Sus scrofa: one gene and its partners. The protein of the gene in region 3 interacts with the protein of the main gene of each other region in a pairwise test. Links are inferred from orthologs where the notes say so. Each region holds a gene or a part of one and is shown on either strand. Other genes may lie near its edges. The genes, in order: nuclear envelope pore membrane protein POM 121C-like, C14H10orf62, FXR2, RALYL, ZMAT2, MEAF6 and PTS.

Region 1 (4,847 bases), on a different chromosome or scaffold from region 3:
GTTGAGGACGCCCCAAAGGAGAGGCTGCTGCCTGATGTGCCCACCCCAGGGCCAGGGGTGCTCTGACCAAAGGTGGGCGTGGAGGCGCCTCCAAACACAGGTTGGCTCTCTGCACTGCAGGCCACATTGAGGCCAAAGGATGTGTTCTGGCTGGGTGCACCCAGGCTCTTCTGACTCAAGCCTCCCACAAAAGGAGTCGTGCTGCCAGCGGTCCCACTCTGTCCTGCTCCGGAGCCAAAGGCTCCTGAGGCAGAGCTGGTGCCTGGCGAAGCCACACTGAGCCCAAAGCCTCTGCTGCCAGACGGTGGGGCTGCCCGTCCCCCAAATGTGAAGGGAGATGGTGTCGTGCTACTGGAGCGACTGGCCCCACTGCCGGTGGTCTGGGCTGTAGCTCCAAAGCCAGAGGTGGTGGCTGCACCAAAGGAGAAAACGGCTGTGGTGCTGCCAAAGGCTGGCTGGGGGCCGGCAAGGGTGCCCGAGGCAGAGGCTGTGGCTTTCAGGCCACCAAGAGTGGACTGTGTGGTGCTGCCAAAGGCTGGCTGGGCTGTGGCTGGAGTGGCAGTCGGGGCGGGGGCTGCAGAGTTTCCCAACGTGAAGGAGCTGCACAAGCTGGGGACAAGGGATGGCTTGGCAGCCCACTGCTGCTGCCCATCAGTGGCCCCAAACCTGGGCTGGGCGTTGGATCCTGGCTTGGCACTTGAGCCAAAGGGAACGCTGATGGCTGGGCGGGGGGTGCTACTGAATGTCAGCGTGGCCTGGCTGGTGGTGGCTGGGGCAGAGGCTGGAAGGCTGCTGCCCAAATCACTAAAGCCAGCAGTGCTAGCGCTGCTGCTGCTGCTGCTGCTGCTGCTGCTGCTGCTGCTGGCCACTGCCTGAGGGGCACCGGGAAGGGACTGGCCAAAGCTGGTGACTGCTCTTGAAGGAGGCATGGTGGGAGGCTTACCAAGCTGGACTATGGAGCTGGAACCCACAGCTGGGTTTGTGAAGCTGCCACCAGAGGCAGAGGGAGTCCCAAAGAGGACGGGCTGGGAGGTGGAAGCGGTGGTGCTAGTCACGCGGCTCAGGGTGCTGGTCATGCTGCTCACACGGAAGCTGAACACGGGCTTCAGAGCAGAGTCTACGGAGGTGCCAGCTGTGGTCGCAGCAGCCACTGCAGAGGTGGCGCGGGTCTGGCCAGGGAAGAGAGGGGCGCTCATAGCACTGGCTGGAGGAGCTGCCTGCTTGAAGAAGGGAGTTACTATGGGCACGGATGCAGGGGCCTCCCTGGTGTGAAAGCCAGGTTTAAAAGTGCGGGATGGGCTGCGGGTACTTGCGGGGAGGGCTGAGCTGGAAGATGTGGTGGCTGGGACCTTGGAAGGGCTAGAGGGCAAGGGGCCCTCGTTCTTGCTTTTAGGAGGGGGCCAAAAAATGGGATCTAGCACGGGAGATGGTGAAGACACAGCAGGAGCTGCAGAGGCAGGAGGCTTAGCAGGTGAGGTGCCCAGCATTCTACAAGGAATGTTCTGCTTGGGAGGGGGAGGGGGGGCCGACAAGGCTTGGGAGTTGGCAGACGTCTCAGCCTCAGGGGCTGGAGGTGACTTGGTGTCAGTGACTGGTCCTGTGGAAGAAGCGGGGGTAAGGGTGCCGCCACAGAAAACGGCTGTAGGTTTGCAGTCCGAGGAGGTGCCCGCGAGAGGCCCTGACTGTGAAGAGCCAAGAGGGGCCAGAGGGCTGGGTGTCTTCGGAGGCGAATGGGCCACAGGGCTTGCCATGCCAGCAGACTTGGGGGGCGATGGTAGGCCTGGGGAATCCTGCTGCTTCTTCAAGCTCTTCAACAGTGGGCTAGGGCTTGGGGCTGGGAGGGAGGTTTTGGTGGCAGGAGTCCCAGCAGTAGGCAGGCTGAAAGAGACCGGAGGCTGACCGGTAGGTGGGTTCTCAGGGACAGCGCTCAAGGCAGTATCAGTCTTATCCTCCAAGATCTCGCTGAACCATTGTGACAAAGCTTTCTTTTCCAAGTCTAAGTCTTCCGCAGTGACTGAATACCCAAGCTGGGGAGGTGGAGGCAAGGTCAGCTGCTCCCCTCGCCAGGACCGCAGCAGCTGCACCTTCCGCTTACGCTGCCCTGAGCTGCCAGGTGTTGGTGGAGAACTCCACGAGTTCTCTTTCTCCCTTGTGGTGGTATCGGCAACTTCTGCTCCCTGGGACTCCTTGTCTGTTGTGAATGCAGTTGAAGAAGCCGAATGATGAGAAAGTTCCTCTTCTCTTATTTCCTTTGCTGGCCTCGCTAGAGCCTGGGAGCAGGACGAAGCTGGCCTGGAGAAGGGGGATGACCTAGGACCACTCCTCTTCCGCAGCTGAGAGAGACCTCCAGTAGAACTGTAAGAACTGGTGATGGCATTGCGCCTGGAGATGGGCACGCCGCCTGAGTACGTGCTGGTCAAGGAGCTCAGAGAAGAGGTGCGTGACCTCTTATTTAAGTGGGCATCTGAGCTCTGGGGACTGAGACCTCTCTTCAGAGACCCAGGCTTAGGCACAAAAGAGGCAGGGATTCCACTGGCCGCCAGCGGCTCAAATGCTGAATGTCCACGTCCACTGCTGTCCTGGCGCCTTCTCTTTTCTTCCTGGCCATCAGCCAGTATTTGGTCTTCCTCCTTCACCGTCCTTTTCTTCCTCGCTCTGAGGGCACTCAGCACAGTCTCCTTTGCACATGGGTCTGGGGCACTAGCTGATGGGGAGGACACGGTTGAGCTGCTACTCTGCTCTGATAGCGGGGGACGAATCCGCTTGCTATCCGGAGGAGCAATCCTCACTCTCACTGGGCTGCACACCACTTTGGAATTGCGAGCAGAGAGCACAGTCTTCCTGTGACAACTATTCCAGCACACCGTGGGAAGGACCCCCAGCGAGGCATAGTGGGCCTGCTGGATTGGGTATCTCCTTCGAGGTGTTATTACAAACCGATGTGCTACAGGGCCACAACCCCGGAGGGCCGTCCTCCTAGAGGGTCGGGGAAGAGGAGTGGGTAGGGAGGGGTGAGTATGAACCCCGGGGGTATGGCCTGATGGAGCTGGCGGCATGGGGCGGGTGGGCGGGCGGCGGCCAGGCCTCTCCCGCAGGTCCCTGGCCTCCGAGGTGGAGGCAGGCTGCGGGGGGGCGGGCTTGCCTAGGTAGTTGCCCATGAGGAACAGATGAGCGCGGGTCCAAGTCCTTGGAAGAGGCGCGGAGGCTCTAGGAGACTTCCGTTTACTGCTGACTACGCCGGAGGCAAGGTGAGCAGTGTTCCATGGCAGCGCGCCTTCAGAACCAGCGAGGTTCGGAAGGCGCGTGAACCTCGGGGGGCTCGCGGCGCAGGCCCCACCAGGCCGCGGTCGCCCCCACAGCTAGCCAGGCCAGCGTAACCGCCACCCCCGCGGGCACCAAGTACAGCACGAGGCCCAGCAGCCACAGGCCCAGCAGCGCTGCCCCTGCCCCTGGCGGCACCAGCCCACAGACCCAAGGTCCCTAACACTGGCTATCAACCTCCGCTCCACAGGTTGCCTCCTGCAGTCACCGCAGCTGCTGCAGACACCGTGACTACGCAAGCAAGGGTAGCCCCGGAATAAATAATAATAACAAACAGTCAAAAATAAAACCCCCAAAACAAATGTGCATGCGCCAGATATACTTGAGTGAAAATAATCACATAGGTAAGATACAGACACATATACCTATATCATAAAAATGCTTGGAGAATGTCAACTTTAGGATAATGCTACACAGGCAGGGGATGAGGCTATCAATGAAGACAAAAGGGGAACCTCAGTGGGATGTACTGTACTTGATTTTACAACACTTTCCAAATCTGAAATAGACCTAAGTAACATGTTAAGACATGTTAAACATAATCTCCATATGATGAATGATTCATCATCTTTGTATTTTTATCTACGGTTGAAATAATGAGAAAGTGGAGAAACGTACTACATGTCTGTATGTTAAAATGTTTAGAGGATTCAGAAAAGAACACAAATAAAACACTATCTTTACATAGATAGACAGGTAAATAGTCTAATATATTCGACCAAAATAATAGTCTTTGGTGCCCCACAGTTTTAAAACTTCCAAAGGACCGATTACTTGTTCCCTCATATGACTACATGACTTGTAATCATTCAGATGATTCCATCTGAATGGTTAAAAAGAAACCAAATGAGGTCATCTCATTTGAATGTAAATTAGTACAGCCATGGTGGGAACCAGCATGGAGATTCCTCAAAAAGTTAAAGGAAAAAAAAAAAAATACCATAGGATACAGCAATTTCAAACTGAAGGACATGAAATCGGTACTTCAAAATGATATCTGCACTCCCATGTTCACTGCAGGAACATTCACCATAACCAATATAAGAAAACCAGGTAAGTGCCCAACAACAGATGAATGGATAACGTGTGTGTGTGTGTGTGTGTGTGTGTGTGTGTGTGTGTGTGTGTGTGTGTGTGTGTGTGTGTGTGTGTGTGTGTGTGTGTGTGTGTGTGTGTGTGTGTGTGTGTGTGTGTGTGTGTGTGTGTGTGTGTGTGTGTGTGTGTGTGTGTGTGTGTGTGTGTGTGTGTGTGTGTTATCCAGCCTTAAATGCCCAAGAGATCCGGCCACTTGCAGCAAAACAGATGAACCTGGAAGACCTGCTAAATCACATAAACCAAACACAAAAAGATAGAATGATCTCACTCATTTATAGGATCCAAAAGTGGAATACATAGAAGCAAAGACTAGAACAGAGCTCACCAGGGGCAGAGAGGTGGGAGAAATGAGCATATGTTGGCCAAAGGACACACACTGCACCTATGTAGGAAAAATTAAGCTCGAGCGCCAAAGCAGAGTATGGTAACTA
Region 2 (4,049 bases), on a different chromosome or scaffold from region 3:
GGGCCCACCTCCCACCCCTGTTTACTTCCTTGCCTCTGAAATCCTGTCTCTCCTCCCAGCTCCCGGCTGCTGCTTCTCTTTCTCTGGCAACAGCAGGGCAGTGGGTGTTGAGCCCCCTGGAGACTCCCCAGAACCTGAGACCCAGGAATCAATTTTACGGAGCCCACCCAGAGGCCGTGGCAGGAGGAACCCTCTCCCCACTGGCCTGCCCGCACCTGAGGCTGGCCCCAGAGCCCCAGACTCTAAGTGAGGGTGTTCAAGGCTTTATTGGCTCAGGTCCAGGCGTTTGGCATCAGGTGCTCTTGGCTGCTCCTGGTATCGGCCTCTTTCATTGCCTCTCAGTGGGTCTTCAGGGGCCTGTGCGTCTGCTTGGCTTCCACCCAGCTCTTCCTTCATCAGGGGACATCAGTGGCAGCCTTTGCTCAAGGAGTCAAAAGGGCCCAGGACTCCTGTGGGGGCCTGACGAAGAGGGGCTTTGGGCGGCAGCATCTTAGTCTGGGCCACCTAGGCTGCCCCATCGGAGAGAAAACAGGCCTGTGTGTGCCAGCCTTGTTGGGGGAAGGGGCATGTCCATCCGTGGTTAGGTGGTCTAATGGCTGCGGTTGGGCAGGCTGTGGCTCTGGTGGCTCGGGTGGCTTGGATGACCCTGGTGGCCCTGGTGACTATGGAAGGTGTGCGTGTGGTTGGCGCCAGCTATGGTGGCTTCCCGCTGGGTGAAGAAATTGCCTTTCAGCTTTAACTGCACCTCCTCGAGCGCTTTCAGCTCTTCCTGGTTGATATCCTTGGACTCCAGGTGGCCTGAGTTCTGGCACGCCATGACACGCTGCAGCATGGAGTTGGCCAGCTGCTGTCCCTTGGCGTCAATGTCCTTGGTACAGGCAGCCACGGCGGCCCACGTGGCCTCCTCCGTGGCCGAGGATTTTTCAGACTCCTTGGGAGTTTCTTTGGTCACCAAGGTCCCAGACATCCTCTGCTTGCTGGTGAAGGACTCCCGGTGAAGAGCCGCGCCGTCTTCTCCCTGCCTGGTGGTGAAGGTCTCCCCGGGGATTGTCGTGCTGGCCTCTCCGATGCCACCGTCAGGCTGGGGAGCCCCCGTGATGCCGCAGTTGCCCCCGGCCGTGCTGCTGGTCCCGGCTGTTCCTCCGGCGGGCAGCTTCTCTTCGGAAAGACGGCTAAAGTGCGATTTGATCCAGTTCTCGTTCTTTTCTTCGTGGCTTTCTGGTGGCTCTTGCTCATCTTGTGCACCCTCAGAAGCTGCCTTCCTTCTCCTCTTCCTCTGCATCCACAGCATGAGGCCTCCACCTCCGAGGAAGAGGGCGGTTCCCAGCACCACCCTGCATGATGGTTGCTGGATGAGCTCCAAGAAAGTCTCCAGGACCCCACGCCAGGCAGGCAGAGCTAAGAGCACACTGGAAGTGGGGGAGCCCAGATGGTATGGCTCATGCTTGAAAAGACAGGCTCCCCGAGGGTATCTGCCAGGCAGGCCCCCTGCTGTGCCCTCCCTAGGAGGCCCCTCCCACCTCAGCAATGAACCCCATTGTGAGGAAGGTGGTTGGGAGGGCGGGGGGCGGGAGAGAGGCCATGGCATCCCTTATGTCTGGTCTGACAGGCATGGCCTGAGGCCTGGGACCTTTCTCCCACCCTGACAGCTGTCCCTGAGGCCGGGGGAAGGGCACCTTCCCCAATTCTGAGTCCCTTCTGCCTTCTGCTTGTCACCTATTCTGCAGCTCAGACCTTCTTATCTTCCAGTCGTTGGTTTCTCTTCCTCTCAATCTGGTGGTCTCCAAGGGGCAGAGGCTGCTGGGTCAGGCTGGCCATGGCCAAAGGTCCCACTTGGCTGGGCTGGCATCCATTCCTGGCTGCCTAAGTCTAGTGTCTTTCTCTACTGCCAGCTTTGTGCATTCCTTCCCCACTTGTGGCCTCCAGCCCCCTTACACATCAGGGTCGAGAAGAAAAAGGGGTCCAGGAAGGAGCACATTCTGGAATAACATGAGGTCACAATTGGGGGAAGACAAGCAGTGGGCTGAGAAGATTAGACAGGACAGGAAGCTTCACCCAGCCCTAGATCCCTGGGCTGTTCCAGGATAGGGATCCACCACCTCTTGCCTTAGTGTCATACCTGCAAACCTAGAATCTGCCCACACCCTCGACTCTCCTGTAAGTGGGCACAGTTCAGGTTAAAAGCTGCTGGGACAGGTGGCCAGGCTCTCTAGATGTACAGACAACTGAGAGTCTGGCCTCCAATCCCAAGTTATACTCAGGGCCTCTCAGGGTAGAAAGAACCCTGGTCCACTCCCAGAGGCATATACAACTTTTTTTTTTTTTTTTCTTTTTAGGGCCACACCTGTGGCATGTGGAAATTCCTAGGCTAAGGGTTGAAACAGAGCTGCAGCTGCCAGACTACCCCACAGCCACAGCAATGCAGGATCCGAGGCTCATCTGCGACCTACACCACAGCTCGTGGCAACGCCAGATCCTTAACCCACTGAGTGAGGCCAGGGATCGAACCCGCAACCCCATGGTTCCTGGTCGGATTCGTTTCTGCTGCACCACAACAGGCACTCCATATACCACATTTTTTAATGCCAAAATAGGACTATTAAAATTGTGATATTTTAAAATACTGTATTTAACAAGGTAGTGGCTTTAATATACACAAAATATTATACCTTAGTCCAAGAAACCATGGTTTATCCTTCATAATAAGGGAATAACAGAAGCTTAAAGTTTTGGGCAGGAGTTCCCGTCGTGGCTCAGTGGTTAACGAATCTGACTAGGAACCATGAGGTCAAGGGTTCCATCCCTGGCCTTGCTCAGTGGGTTAAGGATCCGGCGTTGCCATGAGCTGTGGTGTAGGTTGCAGACGCGGCTCGGATCCCGCGTTTCTGTGGCTCTGGGGTAGGCCAGTGGCTACAGCTCCGATTAGACCCCTAGCCTGGGAATCTCCATACGCCGTGGTAGCGGCCCAAGAAATGGCAAAAAGACAAAAAAAAAAAGTTTTGGGGAAATGTCAGCTCTCCGGGCTTGCTAGAGTAGCTCTGGGGTCATCCACTCACCTCATTTGGAAATAACAATTCAAAGTTCACCTTTGAGGTTGTTTGTGGGTATGAGTTCAGGGACAAAGGACCTTCTGCAAAAACTCCTCCCTCTGGTCTCTGGTTATAAGTTTTTATTTTATTTTATTTTATTTTATTTTATCTTATTTATTATTATTATTATTATTTTTTGCTATTTCTTGGGCCGCTGCCATGGCATATGGAGGTTCCCAGGCTAGGGGTCTAATCGGAGCTGTAGCCACCGGCCTACGCCAGAGCCACAGCAACTCAGGATCCAAGCCGCATCTGCAACCTACACCACAGCTCACGGCAACGCCAGATCCTTAACCCACTGAACAAGGGCAGGGACCGAACCCGCAACCTCATGGTTCCTAGTCGGATTCGTTAACCACTGTGCCACGGCGGGAACTCTTTATTTTATTTTTTTAGCTGTGCTTGCAGCACGGAAAAGTTCCTGGGCCAGGGATCTAACCTATGCCACAGCAGCGACCCAGGCTGCTGTGTTGGCAATGCCAGATCCTTAACCTGCTTCACCATAAGAGCAATTCCATGAGTTTTATTTTAAGAGATTATGCTTTACTCAAATAATTAGTACAAATTAACAATGCCAAAACACAGATAAATAAAAAGAACTATTCAGTTGCAGGCAATGCCTTCCAGAAGATTCTCTTAAATGGTCACAGATTCATCAAGGGCAGGTTCCCATCTCTTTGGAGGACCTTTAACCCATGGCAGGAGGCCCTGGCACTGTGAAATGTGATGGGTCCCTCCTCCACCCCTGAGTGTTGGCTGCAGTAGGGGGCAAGGAACAGGCAAGGAGACAGATTTTTTTTTTTTGTCTTTTTGTCTTTTTTTTGTTGTTGTTGTTGTTGTTGTTGCTGTTGCTATTTCTTGGGCCGCTCCCGCGGCATATGGAGGTTCCCAGGCTAGGGGTTGAATCGGAGCTGTGGCCACCGGCCTATGCCACAGCCACAGCAACGCGGGATCCGAGCC
Region 3 (4,341 bases):
TGCAGGTATGGCCCTAAAAAGCAAAAAAAAAAAACCTAAAACAAAAAAACACAAAACTCTACTCTAGTTCAACTACTTCACCATCACGTAAAGAAGAGAAAGCTAAAAAAAATTAAAAAGAAGAGAAAGCTCACTGAAATCCAATTATCTGCTGAAGGGCAATTATTTGCCAAAGCAAGACTTAGGATTCCAAGTCCAGTCGTCTTGCCAGTGTGCACATGGCTCTCAAACATCCCACAAAGCAGTTTGGTTCCCAGAGGTAAATCAGGGGGTGGCCTGTGGAGGTGAAAGTGATGATACCCTCTCCAACTTTTGGACAGAGCTGCTCTAATTGATCCGTAAAGCACTGTGCTTTCATGTAAAATTTCACTTGATCAAAAGGGTCCCATAGCTTTAAAAAAAAAGAGCCTGTACTAAAACATGATGGCGCTCTGCCATCTGGAGGAGTCTGGGATAAAACAGCAGACCCAGGTTAAATGGCCCAGAAAGACCTTAATCTCTGTTCTGCAAACACAGGGGCATGGGTGGAGAATGGGGTGGGAGGGAGGAGAACACCACCACCCAGCAGTAAAAAGGGCTTAAAACTTACCTCTAGGTGCTTGGTAGCTTCCTCATTGCGGGACATGAGCAGCAGTTTGGTGCGCAGGCTTCGGAAATGCATATCCCCCAGCAGGGATGCCCGTTTCACAGGAGCTTCTGTGGTTGACTGGAAAGAAGACAATGGAAAGGCCATTAAAATGGACTGAATGCACATTGGAAGAGAGCCAGGAACTGGGAATCAGGATGCCTGAGTCTCTGAAAAAGAATGGATGTTAAGAAACAAATCGTGTCAGTCTCACAAGGACCTACTACATGGGCGCCTAAGGGAAGGATTTTAAGTAGCAAACACAGGTGAGAATCACATGTTTTTGAGAGTCCAAATATGCAAGAGAGGGTCCCTAGCCCAGACTGTAATACGATGGTCAGGTAGGAAAAAAACTAAGGTCACACGTGAGAAAGACTAAGGAAACATAGGCTAACCCGAGCCCACAAGGGTCTGGAGCTATACAGTCCTCTCTGCCAAATAAATATAAGCACATTTTAGCTCTTCCTTCTTGCAAAGGATTAAAAGGGGAGTGGGCTTAGGTGAAATTCAGGCAGAATAAACTCACCAGAATGAAGAGCTCACTATTTGTGATGTTGAGAAAGATACAGTTGGCTCCCAATGCTTTCTTGAACTCTTTATGGACATTTTCATTGGAGCAGCTGCAGGGAAAGAGGACAGTGCTCAGAGGGCAGAGTGCAGAGTTGAAGGTTCAGGGGAGAGAGAAAGAGGGGACTGAGAAAAATAAGAGGGACTTGAGTAAAAGAACAGGGATGAGGAAGCAGGGGAACTGGGAGCAAAAAGGGCTCTAGAGGGCCACGGGAACAACAAAGAACACTGAAACTGGAAGCAGCGCCTGGGAGAAACAAGGGCAGCGATGAGGACCATAAAGAGGCCCCCACTCCCAACATCCCCAACACTCACGCCTCTCTCAGATCCTCAGGCACAGCCATGGTCACCTTGAAGAAGCTGCCTTTGGTTGCAAGGGGATTGGGATTAACTGGCCGAAGCCGTTCCAGGGTGACAATCTCATTGTAAGTGGCATCACAGGCAGCATATTCAATGACATAGAACTGGCAGGAGGAAGAAGAGAAAGAAACTATGGATGACCTGAGTCTCCATCTCCCACCTTTCTTCCCCTAAAATGGGTTTGGTAGCTCTGCAAAGACCTTCACAACCACTCACATCTCCCTTCATCATCCGCACTCGGGCCAGCCACCAGCCGCAAGGTTCTTGCTCATTGGCTCGAGAATAAACCTGAAGAGAAGAGAAGTTCAAAATAAAAGAGAATTGAGGACCATCCAAAAACATCAAGAATGGAGTAAACATTAAGACACGTGAGAGGCATCCTAAACTAAGATAAAGGAAACCAGAGGAAGGAGCTGCTAATTAAAATCAGAGGGCTCTGGACTTTAGATGCTGTTGTTATACAGAGAGAACTGAATCCCCTGAAACTGGGAAGCTCCCTGAGAGCTTGGCTGCATCACACAGTGACGGACAGAGAACTGCTGCATTTCACTCTCCCACAGGCTGCCCAGCTCAATGAAGCAGCTTAGCTTAGGAAGGAAGGAGAGTGAGCCACAGTGGCGGGGCCAGGATACCGGCATCAGGATAAGGGAGATGCAGAATCCTGGGAAAAGCGACATTTAGCAAGGGAGGACGCCATGGTCCTTACCTCCACCTCATCCCCTTCTGTAATCTCCTTATTATAGTCAGCTGGCGGTGGTAGCCGGACGTCCCCAAAAGGAATCTGTCTCTCACTCTGCCAGCTGCAAGGGAAACGGTGATACGAAAGCTATTCAGGCTCTGCACTTGTCCATTTCTTCAGGAAGAGGCTACTTCCTCCACTGTGCATTTTCTACCCTCCCTGGTGATTAGGCGCTAAACCCCAGGCCCTCCTCCATAATGGTGTCTCTCATCTCTTGCGAGAACCTAAATACTGAGTCAAATGCCCCCCGATCCTCACATTTCGGCCCTTTCCTCTCCTGTGATCCAGAGAAGTTGCCCACCCAAACCCTTGGCTCTCCCCCACCTATTACATGCCTCATGGGATTCAGCCGCCCCCGCTTCTCCACTCTCCTTCTAGGACCTACTGGATTCTCTATTCCCAAGGTCTTACTTGTTTTCAAAGAAGATGGTGACAGAGTCTTCATGGACATCCTTCACAAAGCCCTAGAATGGATTTGAGAACAATGAAAAAAAAGAAAAAGAAAATGACAATTTACCACAACCTCAGCTATGAAGGGAACAGACACTTTTGGAATTTTAGACTGGGACACAAGCAATCTAAAAGCAGGGACAAAAAAGCTGTATTGGGGAAGGAATGTGAATGTTGAAGTTGCAAAAAAAGAAATAATATTCCACGAAAAAAGATGTGGCAAAATCCAGTAAGTTGAGAGAGAAATTAAGTAGAAGGGAGAAACATCACCTACATCACAACAGCCTGGAAACTAGTGGACTCCTATGGCTCCCACAGGGGCCTCCATATCTGTCTGCCTCCTGCTGTGCTGAGCAGCTTGCCAGAGTTCAATTAAAATACCAACAACATTCAGCAAAGCTAAGAATATCCCATGAGACAGTGTGAGGCTGCCCTGGAACACCTAAAGGACATCAGGATCTGCCAAGAGAAAAGGGTCTAGCTCCCTAACACAGCAAACTTGGTGGCTAGAAGACTGGGTCCTAAGGAGATAATCGCAACACTGGAGAAGTTCAAAATGAACACAATTTATGGCAGGAAAAAATAGAATTTAAAAGATGTGAGGGAGTCAGACCATAACATGGGGTTTAGCATGTTCGACTAGAGTCCCTCTCCCCTGCAAATAAAATCACTTTTATGTTTAAAAAAAAAAAAAAAAAAAAAAAAAAAAAAAAAAAAGATGTGAGACTTGGACACTGCTAAGAAACTGGAAAGGAATTCCTACTGTAGCACATCGGGATCAGCTCAGCAGTGTCTCTGGAGCCCTGGGACACAGGTTCAATTACCGGCCCAGCACGAGGATCTGGCTTTGCAGCTAAGGCTGCAACTGTGGCTGGGATCTGATCCCTGGCCCAGGAACTCTGTGTGCTTCAGGCAGCCAAAAAAGGAAAAAAATAAAAAGAAACTGAAACAACACCAAACTTGAGATCATGACAAGAGAAGGAACAGGGATGACTGAATAGCTGGTCTACCTATTTTCTATGACTCACTGAGGAAGCCAAAGCTATCCATTTAATCCTATATTCCCAATTTTGCTACAGTCTCTCTTTATTTTTCAAAAACTCAAAATTAGAGATTGCTTATTTTGATAAAGTCCAATTTATCAATATGCTCTTTTGTTAACTGAGCTTAACGCCACAGCCACAGCAACACAAGATCCAAGCTATGTCTGCAACCTAGGACCAAAGATTGTGGCAACACCAGATCCTTAACCCACTGATCGAGGCCAGGGGTCAAACCCATGTGCTCATGGATACTAGTCAGGTTCGTTACAGCTGAGCCACGACAGGAACTTCAGTTTTATAGTTTTTTACATTTAGGTGTAAAAAAATTTTGAGCGAAATTTTGTATATGGTGCAAGATATCATCATAAAAAAGGTTGTTTTTTTTACATATGGATATCCAGTTCTTTGATCACCATTTGTTGAAAGACTATCCACTATCTGAGCTATCTGCTGAATTGTCTTTTCACTTTGTAAAAATCAGAAAATGGGAGTTCCCGTCGTGGCGCAGTGGTTAACGAATCCGACTAGGAACCATGAGGTTGCAGGTTCGGTCCCTG
Region 4 (4,341 bases), on a different chromosome or scaffold from region 3:
CAACATAGGAGAAGATACTCTGGAAAATTAGCTGTAGTTCATTAACACATGAATAGGGCTTTTAATTGAACTTAAATTGGTAATTAATTTTTTTAATTTTAATTTTTATTTCTTTACATATATATTTTTTCTACTACATAGCATGGTGACCCAGTTACACATACCTGTATACATTCTTTTTTCTCACATTATGTGTTCCATCATAATTGACTAGACAGAGTTCTCAGTCTACACAGCAGGATGTCATTGCTAATCCATCCCTAAGGCAACATTCTGCATCTATTTACCCCAAGCTCCCAGTCTCTCCCACTCCCTCTCCTTCCCCCTTGCCAACCAGAAGTCTATTCTCCAAGTCAATGATTTTCTTTTCTGTGGAAAAGTTTCCTTTGTGCCATATATTAGAGTCCAGATATAAATGATATCATATGGTATTTGTCTTTCTCTTTGTGACTTACTTCACTCGGGATGAGAGTCTCTAGTTCCATGCACATTGCTGCAAATGGCCTTATTTTGTTCTTTGTTATGGCCGAGTAGTATTCCATTATGTATATATACCACATCTTCCTAATCTAATCATCTATCAGTGGACATTTTGGTTGATTCCATGTCTTGGCAATTGTGAATAGAGCTGCAATGAATATGTGGGTGCATGTGTCTTTTTTAAGTAGTTTTGTCCAAGTATATGCCCAAGAGTGGGATTGCTGGGTCATCTTTGACAAAGGAGGCAGGAATATAAAATGGGAAAAAGACATTCTTTTCAGCAAGTTTTGCTGGGGAACCTGGACAGCTGCATGCAAATCAATGAAACTAGAACACACCCTCATACCAAATACCAAAATAAACTCAATATGGCTGAAAGACTTAAATATAAGACAAGACACCATCAAACTCCTGGAAGAGAACATAGGCAAAACATTCTCTGGTAATTAATTTTTAAAAATTAATGATTTAATGAATTTCTAGTATGTACTAATTTCATACAACCAAGACATAGGCAATAAATGGGTATTTCTCTGATAGTGGCTCAGATATTGCCCCAAAGAAGGAATTTAACTTAGAAAGAAAATTGGTCAGAAAACTCCCATATCAAGGTCAACAAGTAAAATGGGGACATTAAAAAAGGGGACAAATGTAAAACTTACTAAAGTCTTTTGGAAAGCACTATCTGTCTTTAAAATATAGATATGTGAGTTGTAGAACTATAGTAAGAGTATATTCCTTTATAGTAATCACTATTTGTGGTTTTATACCAAGCATTTATTTAAGATATCTTTTTTGTCCTCAAGACTGTTACCTAGACATCACTCTCATTTTATTGGATTCCATACTTTCCCCCCAAATTTTCAAATAACTTGATAATGCAATTTTATCACACCCTTCTAATCTGATTTATCTATGCTTTTATCTCGTTTCCTTCATATGCTCCTGTGTCTTTATGTCTGTGTACATTATAGTAGTAGCATCATAAATTGAAATATGTAATTTCAGAGATATGAAGTAGAATAATAGATTAGAGAGTGTAGGCAAGAGGGCAGAAGACTATTTTATTTTAAATAGGTTGAAAAGCCTCTTTGGGTAAGTAGAATTCAAGCACAGCATACAATAAAGTAGAAGGAAGAAAATAATTAGCCAAGACCTGTTTTCAGAGCAGAGGGAATGGCAAGTCCAAAGAGTCCGAGGCAGAAACAATATCGGAATGGTTGAGGGATATCAGGATGGACAGCAACACTGAAGTGATACAAGAAGGTAGAGAAAAGAAGATGGAGTTGAAATGTGGTAGTGTGGGGCACCGTAGTTTTGTTACAGAACATAAATCTTGTTCTGGGTGAGATGGAGGCACTCAAGAGCATATCAACAGCATCATCTTAGGTTTTAAAGGGGCACTCTGGCAAGAATGGAAAGAGGCAGACCAGTTAGAGGGGTATTTCAATGGTCCACGTGATATAAAGGTGGTCTGTATTAGATGGCTATTGATATAGATTTAAAAGTTGATTGCGTTTGGGATATACTGATGGCAATAAACATGATGATGGTTTACATTTAGAGTGGGGGAGGAAGAGAAGAATTGAGGTTGACACCTAAGCCTTCATTTGGAAAACAGGATAAATGGGGGTTCTATTTGATGTGATGGAGAAGCATGGGGTGGAAGAAGCTGGGGTGTGAATAATCAAGAGTATTGTTCTGTATTCTGGGCATAACAGCTGAGATGCCTGTTGGATAGCCACAAGAAGATGTTGTATAATCAGTTTAATATATAAATGTGCACGTGACAATAGATCAAAATTAGGAAATCACTGATGTCTTCATTATACCTTTTCCTAATAGAAAAAGACTAATTTTTATTTTTATCTGCATACTAACAAAATATTTTCTCCAAAGAAGTTTCACTTTACCTCTGACTTTCTTTGTGAAAGAAAAAACTGTATTATTCCTTGCACATTAGACATAAATCTGATTATTACACATGAATGAACAGTCATGACATACAAGATTCCTGTCTAGATAAGAAATAATAGGTTATATTCCTTTCCCAATTCTCAAGATTCATTTCCTTTTGTTATTTTCCATCCCTTCTCTCCACAAATACAAACAATAAATGAGGAAAATATATCAGCCCCTCAAGAGCAAAGGTATAAATAAGTAAAGTTATTTGGTTTGGTTTTGTTGCTCAGCATAGTGTTTCCTGGAAGACAAAAACACCATTTCAAGTCAAATAAGGTTAAATATGACGCACATTTTTAATTTGCCTGGACCTGTTAGTATTGGTGGAGGTAACAAGTGTTACAAAGCAGACTTGACCTCAAGCTTATAAATTTGTAGAGAAAATAAGACACATATGTAAAACAATATGAGAAAAAGAGAATAATATAAATTATAAATATATGAGCACTATAGTTGGTAAAGACAGAAATATTATGGAGTGCTGGCTTTTAAACAATAAGACCATGTCTAGATATGTGCAGAGACAAGAACATCAATATGAGATCTGTAACTGAGCAGGACTTACCCAGTGGTTGTCCAGCGATGATCCTGGCATTTTCTCCAGCCACTGCAGCTCTTGCGTGTCGCTCACTCATGTACTGTACAAATGCGTAACCTTTGTGAACTGAGCAGCCAACTATTTTTCCATATTTTGAGAAAATGGCTTCAATGTCAACTTTCTTGACAATGGCTGTATTTAGATTTCCAATGAAAACTCGAGAGTTGATGGACTTGGGGTCATTCTTATTGGTGACATTGCTGGTCTGCGTTTTGCCAGTCATGGTTGGCTCGCCTTGTTTTAACTCTTAAACAAAAACAAAAAAACAAACAAAACAATCAAAATGGAAAGAATTAGATTGAATGGATACCACTGGCTTTTAACAGTTTTTCAGTACTGTACCAGGTAACCTCAAATACATAGGTACTACTGATTTTCTTGAGAGGAAAATTTAGTTATATAAAAGGTACTACTGCATTGCAAAATGCAATAGGAAAATATGTTTAATTATTCAGCATATATTTATACATAAATTCCAGATTTATTTATCTAAAATTTTGACCTGTACAGTAATTAAACTCTTTGCTTTATTTTTAAGTTTATAAATATTTCAGAAGCAAGTGTGAAGAATAAGTCACCTAATTAATCAATGAAAAAGAATATCCATCATAGCTAAAGTCTGATGATGGACCATAGTACTGTAGGCTCCATTTATTGTTGAGAACATGTGTTTTTATTTCTACATGTTACATAATTGGTAGATATTGGCTATTTCACTATCAGAACCCTTTTATCAGAAACTAACAATTCGTTCCATTAAATGCTGTGGAAGAGAAAAAAGAGATATTAAAAGTATAAACATTAATTAGAAAAGTTAACACAAGAAAAATGATTTTGAAAATAAAGGATTTAAACAGAAATAATTCTATACATTCTCTTTAGTTGATCCAATTTCAAATGTCAGTTTCATTAAAACCCAGTATGTGTAGCTAGTTTTCATCAATGATCAGCAAATTCACAGTCCTTGTTTCTGTGTTGAAATTTCTATTCTCAACCTCATTTTTAATTAATTTAACTAACGGCTCCTATGTTGCCTAAGGACTGCTAGTAGTTCTAAAAACCACTTTCTGAGCTTGGCAGAATGTTTAATTGTGCTTAATTAAACTCAATGAAACTTTTATTTCCAAGTATGCCAGCACTTACAGATTTATTTTTTAAACTTTAAAAATTCATCCATTCATTCATTTCACAATATTTATTAACAACTTTTTTTTTTTTTTTTTTTTTTTTTTGCCAGACATCATCTTCTCCTAACAATTTAAAAAAACTAACACGGTGAAACTAAAATTTCAGCAAGGATA
Region 5 (5,038 bases), on a different chromosome or scaffold from region 3:
CAGATAACAAGATATAAGCGGCTTTCAACTATCCTTACAGAGTACATGCATGTGAGTGTGGACAGCTGGGCCCAAGAAAAGACCATGGTTTGGGCTTGGGCTTGTTGAGAGTCTAGAACAGATTCGCACCTCTTGGACTCCAGAAACATTAAATAAATAGTAAAGGATCCTATGCTGAAGGAACTATAGAATTCCCTTGACATTAAAAAAGAGGCCCAAGAGAAATGACCCTTTCCCCCACCCTATCTCCAATTCCCATCCCAGCCCCAAACTACCTCTGAGCCTTACGTTTCTTTCCATTAATGTGATCCAGGAAGTTGATAGAGTCTTTCACTACACAGTCACAGACATTGCAGTAATACCTAGAAAACAGAAAGAAACAGCACTCGGGTTGGTGGATTGTTGTAAGGATTTTGTCGCTTTTGACCAAGAAACATGTATTTTGAAATCAAAGTTCTTTTTAGAACAAAGAGGCCTCCACACCACAGCATGACAGAGCTAGGAAGCAGACCCTCTAGACCCACTTATACCTCAGATGAATGCAGACCTTTGAGGGCAACTTTGTGAGAAAGCCTGAGCCAGAACCACCTAAGTAAGTCCCAGATTCCTTACCCCCAGATATTGTGAGCTACCTGCTGTTTTACGCTGCTAAGTCTTGGGTTAATGTATTCATTTCTATAGCAGCAGATAACTAACACAAAGAGGAATGACAACAGCGGGTCTACTAAGCAGCTCAGAGAAGTGTCACACATTGCTATCTGTGTGATCCTCCTGCTGGAAAACCTAACTGGACAGAGAAGTAGTGGTGGGCCAAAGGAAGGAGAGTTCCTGTGGGAGCCTTCTTTCTAAAGCTTATAGTCTTGGTCTAATAGCAAGGTGCACAACCAGGAAATCCGTAACAACTACAACCTTTGCAGCTAGTTAGTCCACAACCTTAACCCCCTTTATCCACCATCAACAGCTCCTGGGCTTCATTCTAGCTTCACCTAATTCCTCCCCTAGACATCTCCTCAGTAGACCTTTCCTTCATGTCTTCCTCTGGCAGGAGAACAAACAATTCCCTTTAAGATATTAAGAAGTAGTTATAGTACTAATATAACAAAGCCTACAGAGTGACACCTCGTAGAGACACTATTATGTTAACTTGAGGCCTTGGAGAACAAAGCATGGAATGACAGAAAACAAGGTTATTATTCTGGGGCCAAGTATCCTGCTCAACACTTCCTGAAACCAACCTAGTTTTATGTGACTTACTCCTGGATGCAGAGATAAATGAAAAGCCACTTACCCTCCCATCTCAGACTGTGGGGTAGTCTTGGTAATGACAATTGTCTTCCCGAGCTTGGATTCCAGGTCCACCTTGTAATCTCTATGCCGGAGAAGCTCTCGCTTGACTGGCTGCACGGGCTTTCCTGGAATATAATGGGGAAGGAAGTCGCTTCATTATCAGAGATCCTTAGCCAGAAAGGAAAAGAAATGCATAAAATGCAAAATCCAGAAGTCTACCTTCATTTCTTTTTTGAAACCTGAAGCAAGGGACAAAAGAGTCCCTTCTAGCAGTAGCTACAGAGAATTTCAACACAGCAAAAATGATAAGCAATCCTTAACTCCCTACATCTTTTCTCCACTTTAAAGCCAACAAGTCTATGGCGTTCCCATCCTGGCTCAGCGGAAATGAATCTGACTAGTATCCATGAGGACGTAGGTTTGATCCCTGGCCTCAGTGGGTTAAGAATCCGGTGTTGCTGTGAGCTGTGGTGTAGGCCAGCAGCTATGGCTCGGACTCGACCCCTAGACTGGGAACCTTCATATGCTGCGAATGCTGCTAAAAAGACAAAAAAGAAAAGAAAAGCAAGACCACTCATTTAGTGTTTTCAGACAGATACCCCATGTGTAACACGGCAATCTTCTGAGAGCTGGGGAAGTTTTTTAAAGAAGAACTATTATCTAGGAAATATCTGCTATATGCCAAGTACTATTGCATGAGTTACATAAAAACCAAAAGTGCTGGAGTATGCAAGTAAAGCAAAAGAAAGTACAAGTCTGAAAACAGAAAAGAAAATAAGACCAACTCCCTGACAAAATGTAAGGCACAGAGAACAGCCGTAAGCACTAGATGAAACAATCAATCCCACGTTCCCCAGGTTAAGAATCCGGTGTTAAGAATCCCACGTTCAATAGCAGCAATACACAGCAGCAAAAACACTCCACTTAACTTCTTCTGAGGATCACTACTGAGGATTCCACTGTCTTCCCTGTACTTGAGGAAAGCACTAAATGAGCCAAGCAAAGGAAGGGCAAGGAAGCAGGGAACCGCAGAGCCGGAAAGCACCTCCAAACCATTTCAGTTCATCTCCTCACGCCTATCTTACTTTTCTACCTGAGGAGCCAGGGAGGCACTATTCTGCCGGAGGTTACACAGGAAAGGGGGCAGCGCGTTTCAACCCCCCACCGACTCGCTAACCATTGCTTCGCATCTGCAGTACACTTAGCACTTGATGGAACAGGCACCCACCATCCTTCTTTTCTCTCTCTTCTGTGAGCCTCTTCTCCGCAAGCTTCTCATATTCATCTTTGTCCCACTTTCGGCGAAAGTCCAAGTTTTTTGCCTGTGGGGGAAAAGGGGCTGAAGATTCGTCGCTAATCGTGTCCGACCCCTGGACAAACAGAAGAAACCGCTCCCCAGCCGCTAAGGCGGCCCCGGGACCTGGGAAGAGCGAAGCCTCTCCGGACAGCACCGGGAGGCTGAGGTTGCCTCAGGACCCCAACCCGAGACCTTCCCGCTTCCGATGACCCTGCGCCAGGGCCTTACGGGGGAGCTCTCAAACCAAGGCGGTTAGATCGCCAGGAGGTGTCGGGAAGCCAGGCGGGTGCGGGGTATTCAGCGCCGAAAAGCCGCCCCGCACCCCCCATCCCAAGCCTCCTCACACACAACACCTACCCCGCTACCCGACGCCATCTTCACAGCGAAGTGAATGGAAAGCCGGAAAATGCCGTAAAAAGCGGCCTTGCGCCGTAAGGCAAGCCCGCCCTCCAATAAGCTTAGAGTCTCGTGTTCTAAACGAGCTAAGGACTGGAGGATTTCTAAAACAAGATCGTCGGCCCCGCCCCTGCTCCAAGGAAATGGCGCATGCGCAAGGGGAGTATGAAGCAACGCGGAAGTAAGGGCGCCTGCGAGGGTTTTTCACCCTGGCTTTAAAAACAAGCACAGATTCAACCCTTCCATTTTACGTAAGAGGAAAATGAAGTTCAGATCAGCGCCCTCCGGTCTAGTCTAACCAACCTGCGTGCACTGCCAAGAGTTTCCAAACCTTCTTAAGGCTGAAGTTCTGTTATCAGGGGCTCTAGATGCCTCTTTACCTGTGTGCACTGAAGATAGGGCCCCAGAGCTCCTAAGAGTTTGCACAGGCTGTAGTCTTCCTAATGCACAAACTGAAAGCGCTGTTTGCATTTTGTCTCTTTATCTTGAAGCAATGCTATCACCCCTTGGTTAACTCATTTTTCCTTCAACTGAGAAACATCACAATTATTCAATCTACAGGGCACAATTTAATCAACACGATCGGACCTGGGAAGGCCAGTCATCAGCAACACTCTAGGGTGAAGAACTCTAGCAAATGTCACACTACACACTGACTTAGTGAGGTGACTGTATCTCACAGCTGCGGGGAGGAGGAAGCATGGCTGTTCCCTTCACCAAAAATAAAACATCACCCCAGGGACGTTCCTCTTAGCTCACTGCATCCTCCAGTGTGCACTCAAGCGTTTTCTATGGCCTATGCAAACAAATCCCTCGATAACAAATTACCCAAGCTTCTAGATTTAATATTTTATTTAATATATTATACAACCACTTCTAGAACAGCCACCTCCACGGCAGGACATGGACTAGTTAGAGCAGGCATAGGTAATGGTCTCCAAAGTCTCAAAAGATCAGATCTCCATCTTGTCAGGTCGCCTATTAAATTCAACATTCAAGATTATTAAACAGACGGCCTCACCCTGATTAACACTGGGTAGGCTAGAGAGACGTCATATTAATATGGGCACTGCTGGGCCCTTGGGCTAGCATCTCTGTCCTCAAACAAAACAGAGAGCAGTCATTGCCCCTTCTTGCTGTTTACCAAAAACTCCCTGGACAGGCCAAGACCACACAGTGGTCAAACTGCCCAGAATTTGGTTCAGAAGCGAAGAGTGGAAGGCTAAGACATGACTTCTGATCTCAGTGGTTCAGAATCGTCTCAACCTGAGGTGACTTTCCCAGAGACTTGTTCACAGCAACCATCTTATTAGCACATGTTGGCAGCGTTCAACGGCACTGCAAGTCTGCCATCTGCCTCTGCAGTTAGAGCATGTCTCTGTCACATACCAGCCATCTGCGCCCATGCAGTATAGCTGCTCTCACTAGCCCCAGAGTCCTCAGGACCTCCTACAATTCTGTACCCAGAAAAGATGGAGGATGCGTAGGCACGAGTCAGCCATCCTGGCCAGCAGTTGTAAAGTTGTGGAACAGGAACTCAGTCCTAGATGAAACCTTTTCTACAAAGAGCAGCAGGTGGCATTCAGGCAAGGATCAAGACTCAGATAGTCGCTTCTGAATTTCAGCCACAAGATTTTCTCGCTTAATGGCCACCTGAAACATAAGAGAATCTTCATGTGACAAACTAGAGAGTGATACTAGCACCTCAGACACTGCTTTTCCAGATTCATTTAATTTGGCAACTATTCCCATGACCTATGCAACCGGTAGGGAGTCTGGGCTTCAAGCTGACCTGAAGAAGGTAGGAGCTCAAGACTAAAGGGATTCAAACACCGGATCTATGTTTATTTTATCTCCAGATACCCAAAGAGATTTCATTTGTCTTCTTGCCTGCCCAGCCATCATTGGCTACAATGGCTGCCTGGAGGGGGTACTCATTCATCTCTATCACTATAAACCCTGGAGATATTTCCTTAGCCAGAAGATACGTATTTCTTTTCTTTTCTTTTTTTTTTTTTTTTTTTTTTGTCTTTTTGCTATTTCTTTGGGCCGCTCCTG
Region 6 (4,341 bases), on a different chromosome or scaffold from region 3:
CTTTCTTTTAAAATGACACTAGGGTAAACTTAATAAAAGCAACACAGGACATGATCTTTTTATCTTGACAATTAAAAAAAACTTTTAAGAGTATGCTTCTCTGCTGTTTATGATTAAGCTAGTAGCATCAGTCCTTTCACAGTGACCAAATTCACTATAGCCTTACCCAAAAAAAAAAAAGGTATGTAATGTTGGCTCTTTCTTACTGCACTTATGAGACTGGCATGTGATTTTTGGTTTGCAGAAAAATGTGAAGCAGCTGTCCTTAGTCACTATCTGGAGAATACACTATTCCTACAGTCTAAAAACCACCACCACCAGACAAGAAAAGCTCTTAAAAGAATTAAAGAATCAGTTGATACCAAGGAGGCTTACACCCGTTAAGAGTCAATTCTCTGTTATCCCTGTGTGCCACAGCCACCAAGCTAACATTAACACCCTGCAAGTGTGAAGGAATGTTTTATGGGACAAGCCAGCCCAGAAGCAAACTGGAGGACACGGAACCCCACCCAGTCCTTGCACGCCCCCTTTCATATCCTCGGCAGGTAGGCTCCTAAGTGGGGCAGGAAAAAGCCAGCCTACTGAGCATCTGGTTTTCATGCCTCTCAGAAGAAGGTTTGGGGACAAGAATCCTGCCTCCAGAAACTATGCATTACCCTCTCTGAGTGCAGCTGTATAATTTCCAATTATCTAAGCTAATAGGCCCTGGAACTATCATACTAACCCTAAGCAGGGGGACACGTGACCTCTCTGGCTGTCCCCTGACATCTCTGCCCACCAATGTGATTCCTATCTCATTACGCACTGCAAAAAAGAAACAAAAAAAACAAAAACAAAAAAACCCAGCAGACCAACATTATCTAGAAAGGTGCTCTCATATCTTACAGCCTTTAGACTGTTCCTGTGATACTAAAATCAGTATATTGTAGTGATATATAAAAATTTAAAAATCAGAATCAAAAAACTTGTATTTAACAAGAAAAAAGGCATGTCAGATCAGTTTTCTCCATCTTCCAGGGAATAAGAATAGGCAGGGATCAGCATTAAGAGCAAAAGACTTATCCCACTTTGCCCTTTCCCGATACATACTAGTGGCATTTTCCAAATGCTAGTACAGAGATTCCATTCTACTTCCCTTTTCCTCCTCTAAAAAGATTTCAGAGTCACTGCATTAAACAAAAGTGTCATGGAATCAAATCTGTCTACACTAGAAACAGTGAGAAAGTTGTCTTCCTTCGGAGTTACTCTGATACCCACCAATTCCTCCCTTAGAGAGAGAAAAATGAGCCTGTTTCCCTTGGACCACATGAATGTCTCCCCATCAGCAACAGAAAGACTGCACCAACCCCAAAGAATGTTTATTTCAGTAAAGTCCCTTCACAGCAACGGCCATGGAAGCTCTAAGTGTGTGGGGCTGGGATGGGTAAAGGTGGTCCCTGCCACTGACCTGTGCCGGTTTTTATTCTTCCGTTTTTTATGGCTGCTGTGATGACTCCCTGAGGAAGTAGAAGAAGCAGCCTTCTGAGGTTTCACTCCCTGCACAGATCCATCCAGATCCTCAGGGTCCTCCTGGCTGGGCTCGTTTTCCTGATTGTGGAAGTCAGGAGAAGTATCACTTTCCGTCCCACTTCCTGGTTCCCCTGGAGGGAATAAACACAAATCCCCCAAAGCGTCATCAGTATTCTCAGGCAGCCTGTCCATCAAGTCAGGAAAGATGCTTTCTGAGCCCTAATACACAGAAGACTATCCCTTATCCTCAAGGACCAATTGACAAGGAAGATACATACAGTCAAAGCATCAAAGTTACCAGAGGTCCTGAAAAACCTATAACCTGAAACAGTGTAACCAGAGGCAACAGATGATGGACAGCTGGGAGAATGGACCACACAACCAGGATAACCTCATAGGATACATTAATGGGATTCATAATTATAAGAGAAGCATTACAGAAAACATCACATAAATCTTGGGAGGTGAGAGATGACCTTGGGAAAACGCCCTACAGCTGGCCCTGGTTCCTTCCCTAAACCACACAGGAATCCTAACTTCCACCAAGAAAACAGGCCCAAGAGAAGAGCCCCATTACCTAAGTTACTCTCAGAAGCCTTAAGAATGATATTTTTAATGGTAATAATAGCCTTCAGATGATACATATTCCCAATTTAAAACATCCTTTAGATATACTAAACAAGCAAGTTCAAGAACAATTTATATAAACACATGTTTTTTAAGAAAAACTACATATATATATATATATATATATTTTTTTTTTTTTTTGGTCTTTTTGCCTTTTCTAGGGCTGCTCACATGGCATATGGAGGATCCCAGGCTAGGGGTCTAATCGGAGCTGTAGCCACTGGCCTACGCTAGAGCCACAGCAACATGGGATCTGAGCTGCATCTGCAACCTACACCACAGCTCACAGCAACACCGAATTCTTAACCCACTGAGCGAGGCCAGGAATCGAACCTGCAACCTCATGGTTCCTAGTCAGATTCGTTAACCACAGAGCCACGACAGGAAACCCATGAAAAACTACATATATTTTGGTAAATGTATACTTTTTCTTTCTGAAAGGAAATTCTTGAAACTCTTAATACGAAAGGATGGGGGAAGACTTTCACTTTACTGAACTGTTGAAGAATCCTAAATGTGTACATTACCTATTTCTAAAAATTGTTAAAAGAGGTTACATGAACAGCAGGACCAGTGACCAGCTTTCTTCTTTTTATGTTTTTATATCATAAACTGCCGGGAAAGATTCCAAACTGAGTAGCACAGGGATACGAGAGCTAAAAGATGCAGGCCCCAAAAAGCAGGAGAAAGCAAAGAGAAAGCAAAAGGGATCTCAGCCATCATGAAACCCTATTTTTGAAGACTTCATGAAACCAAGAAAAGAGAAGAGTTCTAAAACTATGAAGCTAGATAAAATAAACTGATCAATCCTGTCCTGAAGTTTAGGAAAACAGATTTCATGTAAAAATTAGCAAAAGAACCTCACAACTTATCACACAAAGCTAGAGTAACAAGACTGTGTAGTAGTGGCATAAGAACAGACCATAGGTCAAGGGAACAGAATTCAGCGTCCAGATATAAATCCTTACATTTATGATCAACTGATTTTCAGTGGTGACAAGACAATTCAATGAAAAAAGGATAGTCTTTTTGACAAATGGTGCTGAGATCACTGAAGCCTGCAACCCTATCTCACACCATATACAAAAATTCACTTGATGGAGTTCCCATCGTGGCTCAGTGGTTAATGAATCCGACTAGGAACCATGAGGTTGCGGGTTTGATCCCTGGCCTCGCTCACTGGGTTAAGGATATGGGGTTGCCATGAGCTGTGGTGTAGGTCATAGACACAGCTTGGATCCCGAGTTGCTGTGGCTCTGGCGTAGGCCAGCAGCTATAGCTCCGACTAGACCCCTAGCCTGGGAACCTCCATATATGTATGGCTGGTGAGGCCCTAGAAAAGACAGAAAAAAATAAATAAATAACTTGAAATGGGAGTTCCTTTGTGGCGCAGTGGGTTACAGATCTGGCATTATCACTGCAGCAGCTGGGGTCACTGCTGCGGCGCAGGTTCGATCCCTAGCCTGAGAATTTCCACATGGTGCCGGCAGAGCCAAAAAAATAATGACAATAATAACTCGAAATGAATCATAGACCTAAATGCAGGAGCTATAAAACTTTTAGAATCCATTGGATTAGGCAAAGGTTTCTTAGCTAAGACCACAAAAACAAGCATGACAGAAGAAAGTATATGTAAAGTGAACCATATCATTCATATAAAACTCTTGAGCTGCATGTATCACCAAAAAAAAAAGTAAAAAACCCACAGTGGGGAGGTAAGGGCAAAATGAGTAATGGGGAGTTCCCGTCGTGGCACAGTGGTTAACGAATCCGACCTGGAACCATGAGGTTGCGGGTTGGATCCCTGGCCTCGCCCAGTGGGTTAACGATCCAGCATTGCCGTGAGCTGTGGTGTAGGTTGCAGACGCGGCTCAGATCCCGAGTTGCTGTGGCTCTGGCGTAGGCCGGAGGCTACAGCTCCGATTCAACTCCTAGCCTGGGAACCTCCATATGCCGCGGGAGCGGCCCAAGAAATAGCTAAAAAAAAAAAAAAAAAAAAAAAAGAAAAAAGAAAAAAAATGAGTAATGGAGGTCAACTACACGGTAACAGGAGGAAACTAAACTTGTAGTAGTGAGCACGCTGTCGTATATACATAAAATTAAAATATAATGTTGTGTATATTGAAACTTACATGTTTTAAACCAATGTTACCTAAAAAAAGGATAAAAAAAAAACACAACCCACAGAATGGGAAAAAATATTTG
Region 7 (3,415 bases), on a different chromosome or scaffold from region 3:
GTTATCACTGCACATAGCCTTTTACTATTTTCAGGCAGCAACATTCTAAGAATCCTTTGTGTACTAGCTGCTATGTGAAGAGAAAAATAAACCCCTATATTTTAAGGGTTTAGAATACAAATGAGAAAACAAGTGAAAACAGTTCTTTGTGTGAAGAAAGCAAATACATTCTTGCAGATTTAGGCATGAGGAAAAGATACCAGAGAAAAAAGGCCAAAAATACAGTTCAACTTAAGCAGGTAGTTTAATTATCAGAACAAAATAGGATTAATTAGGAAAAACTGTATACAAGAAATGATGTACAGAGTAATATATCCCTTTTCATTATGATTATTTTAAGAGTTTAATACATAAGATTATTTTTCAGTCTTCTGAGTTTAAATTGTTCAGGTAGCCATAAGGTTTTGTTTTTTTTTTTTTTTTTTTTGCTTTTTAGGGCAAACCTGAGGCTATGGAAGTTCCCAGGCTAGGGGTCAAATCAGAGCTGCAGTTGCCGGCCTACACCACAGCCACAGCAATGTGGGATCCAAGATGCATCTGAGACCTACGCCACAGCTCACGGCAACACGGGATCCTTAACCCAAACTGAGCGAGGCCAGGGATCAAACCCAAATCCTCATGGATACTAGTCAGATTCGGATTTGTTTCCACTGTGCCATAATGGGAACTCCAGGTCTTGAAACGTAGACAAATATAAAAGTATTTTACTGATATTCCACAATATGTTCAATGTGCTATTCCTCACAGGCAGTTCCTGGTTCAATAAGCACTGAATGATGTGCACTAAAGCAGTATTTGCAGCAGTCCCTATACCTCCATTTACAATGTGTTGCCTCAGATGATTTGTGTCTAATTTTCATTCTATATACCTGTACCTTTGGCATATCCTAGAAGTGATCAAGGGAGCTCAATCTACTAACAAATATATGTTGTCTATGTTTTCAGACTTTGTGGCCACCTGTATTTTATTTTTTGTAAGATTCATTTGCTGTATTATAAACATTTTTTCCATTTATGTTATATCAAAAAGAAAACGAACACTAAAAAGAGGCAATAGAAAAAACAAAAATAGATTTATTTTGATTTCAAATAATTTTACACCAAAACGTTCTGCTAAAACAATTGTAATTTATGGATAATACACTCTTTAAATGACACCCAGAATACATCATAGATTTGGATTTAAAATAGACTGGAATTTAAAAAAGGTCTTACTCACAATGATTTCAATAAATCAGGTACTTCATAATATAATACGAGGGTATAACCATCATGTGATGACTTCTCAATTATCCAGGGGAATAAAGACTGTCTTCAAATATGGAAAGTAATTAAACCTTTCTATGGTATTAATCTCTAAGAGCTATTCTCCTTTATAGACTACAATATTATTGTCAGTTTCATATACTTTTACTTTATAAAGAACTCCCGCAGGAAGATATTTCTGGAGGTTTTCCCATATATATACAGCTACATTTTCTGTTGTGCTGTAGGAGAAAAGAAAAGATGATCAAAAGGCAAATAAGCAAACTTTCCTGTTTAATATTTGCAGAGAACAGAAATTCTAGTTTTAAAAGATACCACTAAGCTGAAACTTTAGAAATCACATAATAACCAAATAAAAATGTCAAAATCAATTCTTCTTTCTTACTATTTACGTAAGGTAAAATAATCAGTCACCTTACAACATCTGCAAAGTATGGCACATCCAGATCCAGATTCTTATGATCAAGGGGCTTCATGATTGCCTCCTCCAGACAAAACAAAGAAAAACATCATTGATGTCATTTATGATTCGTATAACTTTGCCTCTAACCCTCGCCTTATCATTTAGACACTAACTCAATACTTTCAAGTACTGTCTTACAAAACAATCTCAGAAAGGTTCAAGTTATAAAATAAAGTAAGGCCTAGCTCTCCATAATGACTAGATATTCTCATTACTGAATGCAATAGGTAAGAAACCAAAAAAATAGAGAATGCACTGGAGCTTTCTCCTAACAAGCCTCTGTAATTCAGAATTCAGTTTAACATTTCTTGAATTCTGTCCGAAATATTATCAGAAATACTTCTCCCCAACAGTTTCATCTTTAGCACAATGTCATCAGGACAAAGATCCAATGAGTACTACATATTATAAAGGAGATAAGACTGAAATTATGATGCAAGTAGTTCTAAATTCTTGCATAAGGAGTTACTTATGAATGATCTTGGGCTCTTAGAAGAAAAAATATAAACACATAAAGTATTGCTTCCTAAAACTTTTTTATATACACACACATATTAAACATAACATTTTTCTTTGTCAATGACAGAACTGTAATTGCCTTATTTGTAAGTTTTTAGTTTTAGCTATTATTAAAAAAATCTAAGCAATCTAAAAAATACAATAAACTGGGGAATATAACAAAAAAGAAACAGACTCACCGATACAGAGAACAAACTCATGGTTACCAGTGGGGAGAGGGAACACAGGGAAGGGAATTAAGAGGTACAAACCATTATGTGTAAAATAACCTACAAGGATGGAGTTCCCTTGTGATGCAACAAGTTAAGGACCTGGCATTATCACTGTAGCAGCTGAGGTCACTGCTGTGGCACAGGTTCCATCCCTGGCCCAGGAACTTCCACATGCCTTGCGAATGGCCAAAATAAACAAATAAATAAAATTAAATAAACTACAAAGATATATTGTACAAAATGGGGAATTCATATTTCATATCTTATAATAACCATAAATGGAGTACAACCTTTAAAAATTATGAATCAGTATATTTATATACTTCTAACTTATACTGGACATCAATCATACTTCAATTAAAAAATTTTAAGCATTTATGAAACAATCTATAATTTTCCATATTATCAACAGCAATAATAGCAATCATTTTTTGAGCAAACTCTTTAAAATAATCAAATGGATACCAAGATATCAAGAAAATAAACCTTTGTTTTATCTTTGTCAGTTCAGTTCCCAACTTTTCCATTGAAGGGAGCCTCTTCTACAGGACTCTTTCTAATTTGACTCTGTAAGCCATGTGAGCCACTCTTACCGATGGGGGTGTGTGATGTCCTTAGGTATGCAAAAGTAGGGATAAGTGTAGAGAAACTCTCCTCTAGCATTAACTGTAGGCCTGCTTAGAACATCTATTTCTCATGTTTGTATTATAAACCACTTGGCTTATATATGCTTTACATCCCCAGTAAATGTAAGAACTCTGTCTACACTGCAGCTCTTCTAAAGTATTCTGAGCACCGTACTGTGTTCACTCATTCATTCTCTTATTTATTCAATGAACACTTATTGAGCACTCATTATTCTTTACCTCCTGGAAAAAAGGCATGTGAACTCTGTGGCTAAGAGCTATGTCTCATTCACCACTGTATTCCTTTTTTAAAAAAAATTTTTATTATA

Evidence for each region.
Region 1: the proteins of FXR2 (region 3) and nuclear envelope pore membrane protein POM 121C-like interact in binary tests that used the Homo sapiens proteins (3 or more experiments, as listed by UniProt). The two-hybrid records come from large-scale screens. The link is inferred for Sus scrofa from reciprocal best matches to the Homo sapiens genes FXR2 and POM121.
Region 2: the proteins of FXR2 (region 3) and C14H10orf62 interact in binary tests that used the Homo sapiens proteins (3 or more experiments, as listed by UniProt). The two-hybrid records come from large-scale screens. The link is inferred for Sus scrofa from reciprocal best matches to the Homo sapiens genes FXR2 and C10orf62.
Region 4: the proteins of FXR2 (region 3) and RALYL interact in a two-hybrid assay, tested with the Homo sapiens proteins (2 studies listed by BioGRID and IntAct). The link is inferred for Sus scrofa from reciprocal best matches to the Homo sapiens genes FXR2 and RALYL.
Region 5: the proteins of FXR2 (region 3) and ZMAT2 interact in binary tests that used the Homo sapiens proteins (3 or more experiments, as listed by UniProt). The two-hybrid records come from large-scale screens. The link is inferred for Sus scrofa from reciprocal best matches to the Homo sapiens genes FXR2 and ZMAT2.
Region 6: the proteins of FXR2 (region 3) and MEAF6 interact in binary tests that used the Homo sapiens proteins (3 or more experiments, as listed by UniProt). The two-hybrid records come from large-scale screens. The link is inferred for Sus scrofa from reciprocal best matches to the Homo sapiens genes FXR2 and MEAF6.
Region 7: the proteins of FXR2 (region 3) and PTS interact in binary tests that used the Homo sapiens proteins (3 or more experiments, as listed by UniProt). The two-hybrid records come from large-scale screens. The link is inferred for Sus scrofa from reciprocal best matches to the Homo sapiens genes FXR2 and PTS.

What each region holds. Positions count from the first base shown.
Region 1 is NW_018085157.1:60,335-65,181, reverse strand, and holds the start of nuclear envelope pore membrane protein POM 121C-like, read right to left. Parts: upstream 3,253-4,847; 5' UTR 3,159-3,252; coding exon 1-3,158. UniProt on the Homo sapiens protein: Essential component of the nuclear pore complex (NPC). The repeat-containing domain may be involved in anchoring components of the pore complex to the pore membrane. When overexpressed in cells induces the formation of cytoplasmic annulate lamellae (AL).
Region 2 is NC_010456.5:108,961,982-108,966,030, reverse strand, and holds the start of C14H10orf62 (uncharacterized protein C10orf62 homolog), read right to left. Parts: upstream 2,801-4,049; 5' UTR 1,589-2,800; coding exon 590-1,588; 3' UTR 1-589.
Region 3 is NC_010454.4:52,892,777-52,897,117, forward strand, and holds part of FXR2 (fragile X mental retardation syndrome-related protein 2), read right to left. Parts: intron 2,756-4,341; 5' UTR 2,703-2,755; intron 2,353-2,702; 5' UTR 2,259-2,352; intron 1,841-2,258; 5' UTR 1,784-1,840; coding exon 1,769-1,783; intron 1,657-1,768; coding exon 1,508-1,656; intron 1,246-1,507; coding exon 1,152-1,245; intron 707-1,151; coding exon 590-706; intron 1-589. UniProt on the Homo sapiens protein: mRNA-binding protein that acts as a regulator of mRNAs translation and/or stability, and which is required for adult hippocampal neurogenesis. Specifically binds to AU-rich elements (AREs) in the 3'-UTR of target mRNAs.
Region 4 is NC_010446.5:52,216,663-52,221,003, forward strand, and holds part of RALYL (RNA-binding Raly-like protein), read right to left. Parts: intron 3,287-4,341; 5' UTR 3,264-3,286; coding exon 3,008-3,263; intron 1-3,007.
Region 5 is NC_010444.4:142,409,025-142,414,062, reverse strand, and holds the start of ZMAT2 (zinc finger matrin-type protein 2), read right to left. Parts: upstream 3,094-5,038; 5' UTR 2,960-3,093; coding exon 2,942-2,959; intron 2,610-2,941; coding exon 2,516-2,609; intron 1,413-2,515; coding exon 1,289-1,412; intron 363-1,288; coding exon 289-362; intron 1-288. Other genes in the region: probable histidine--tRNA ligase, mitochondrial, read right to left, coding at 4,574-4,633. UniProt on the Homo sapiens protein: Involved in pre-mRNA splicing as a component of the spliceosome.
Region 6 is NC_010448.4:93,564,614-93,568,954, forward strand, and holds part of MEAF6 (chromatin modification-related protein MEAF6), read right to left. Parts: intron 1,641-4,341; coding exon 1,448-1,640; exon of another isoform or gene 1-1,447.
Region 7 is NC_010451.4:39,925,444-39,928,858, reverse strand, and holds the end of PTS (6-pyruvoyl tetrahydrobiopterin synthase), read right to left. Parts: intron 1,752-3,415; coding exon 1,681-1,751; intron 1,488-1,680; coding exon 1,364-1,487; 3' UTR 1,055-1,363; downstream 1-1,054. UniProt on the Homo sapiens protein: Involved in the biosynthesis of tetrahydrobiopterin, an essential cofactor of aromatic amino acid hydroxylases. Catalyzes the transformation of 7,8-dihydroneopterin triphosphate into 6-pyruvoyl tetrahydropterin.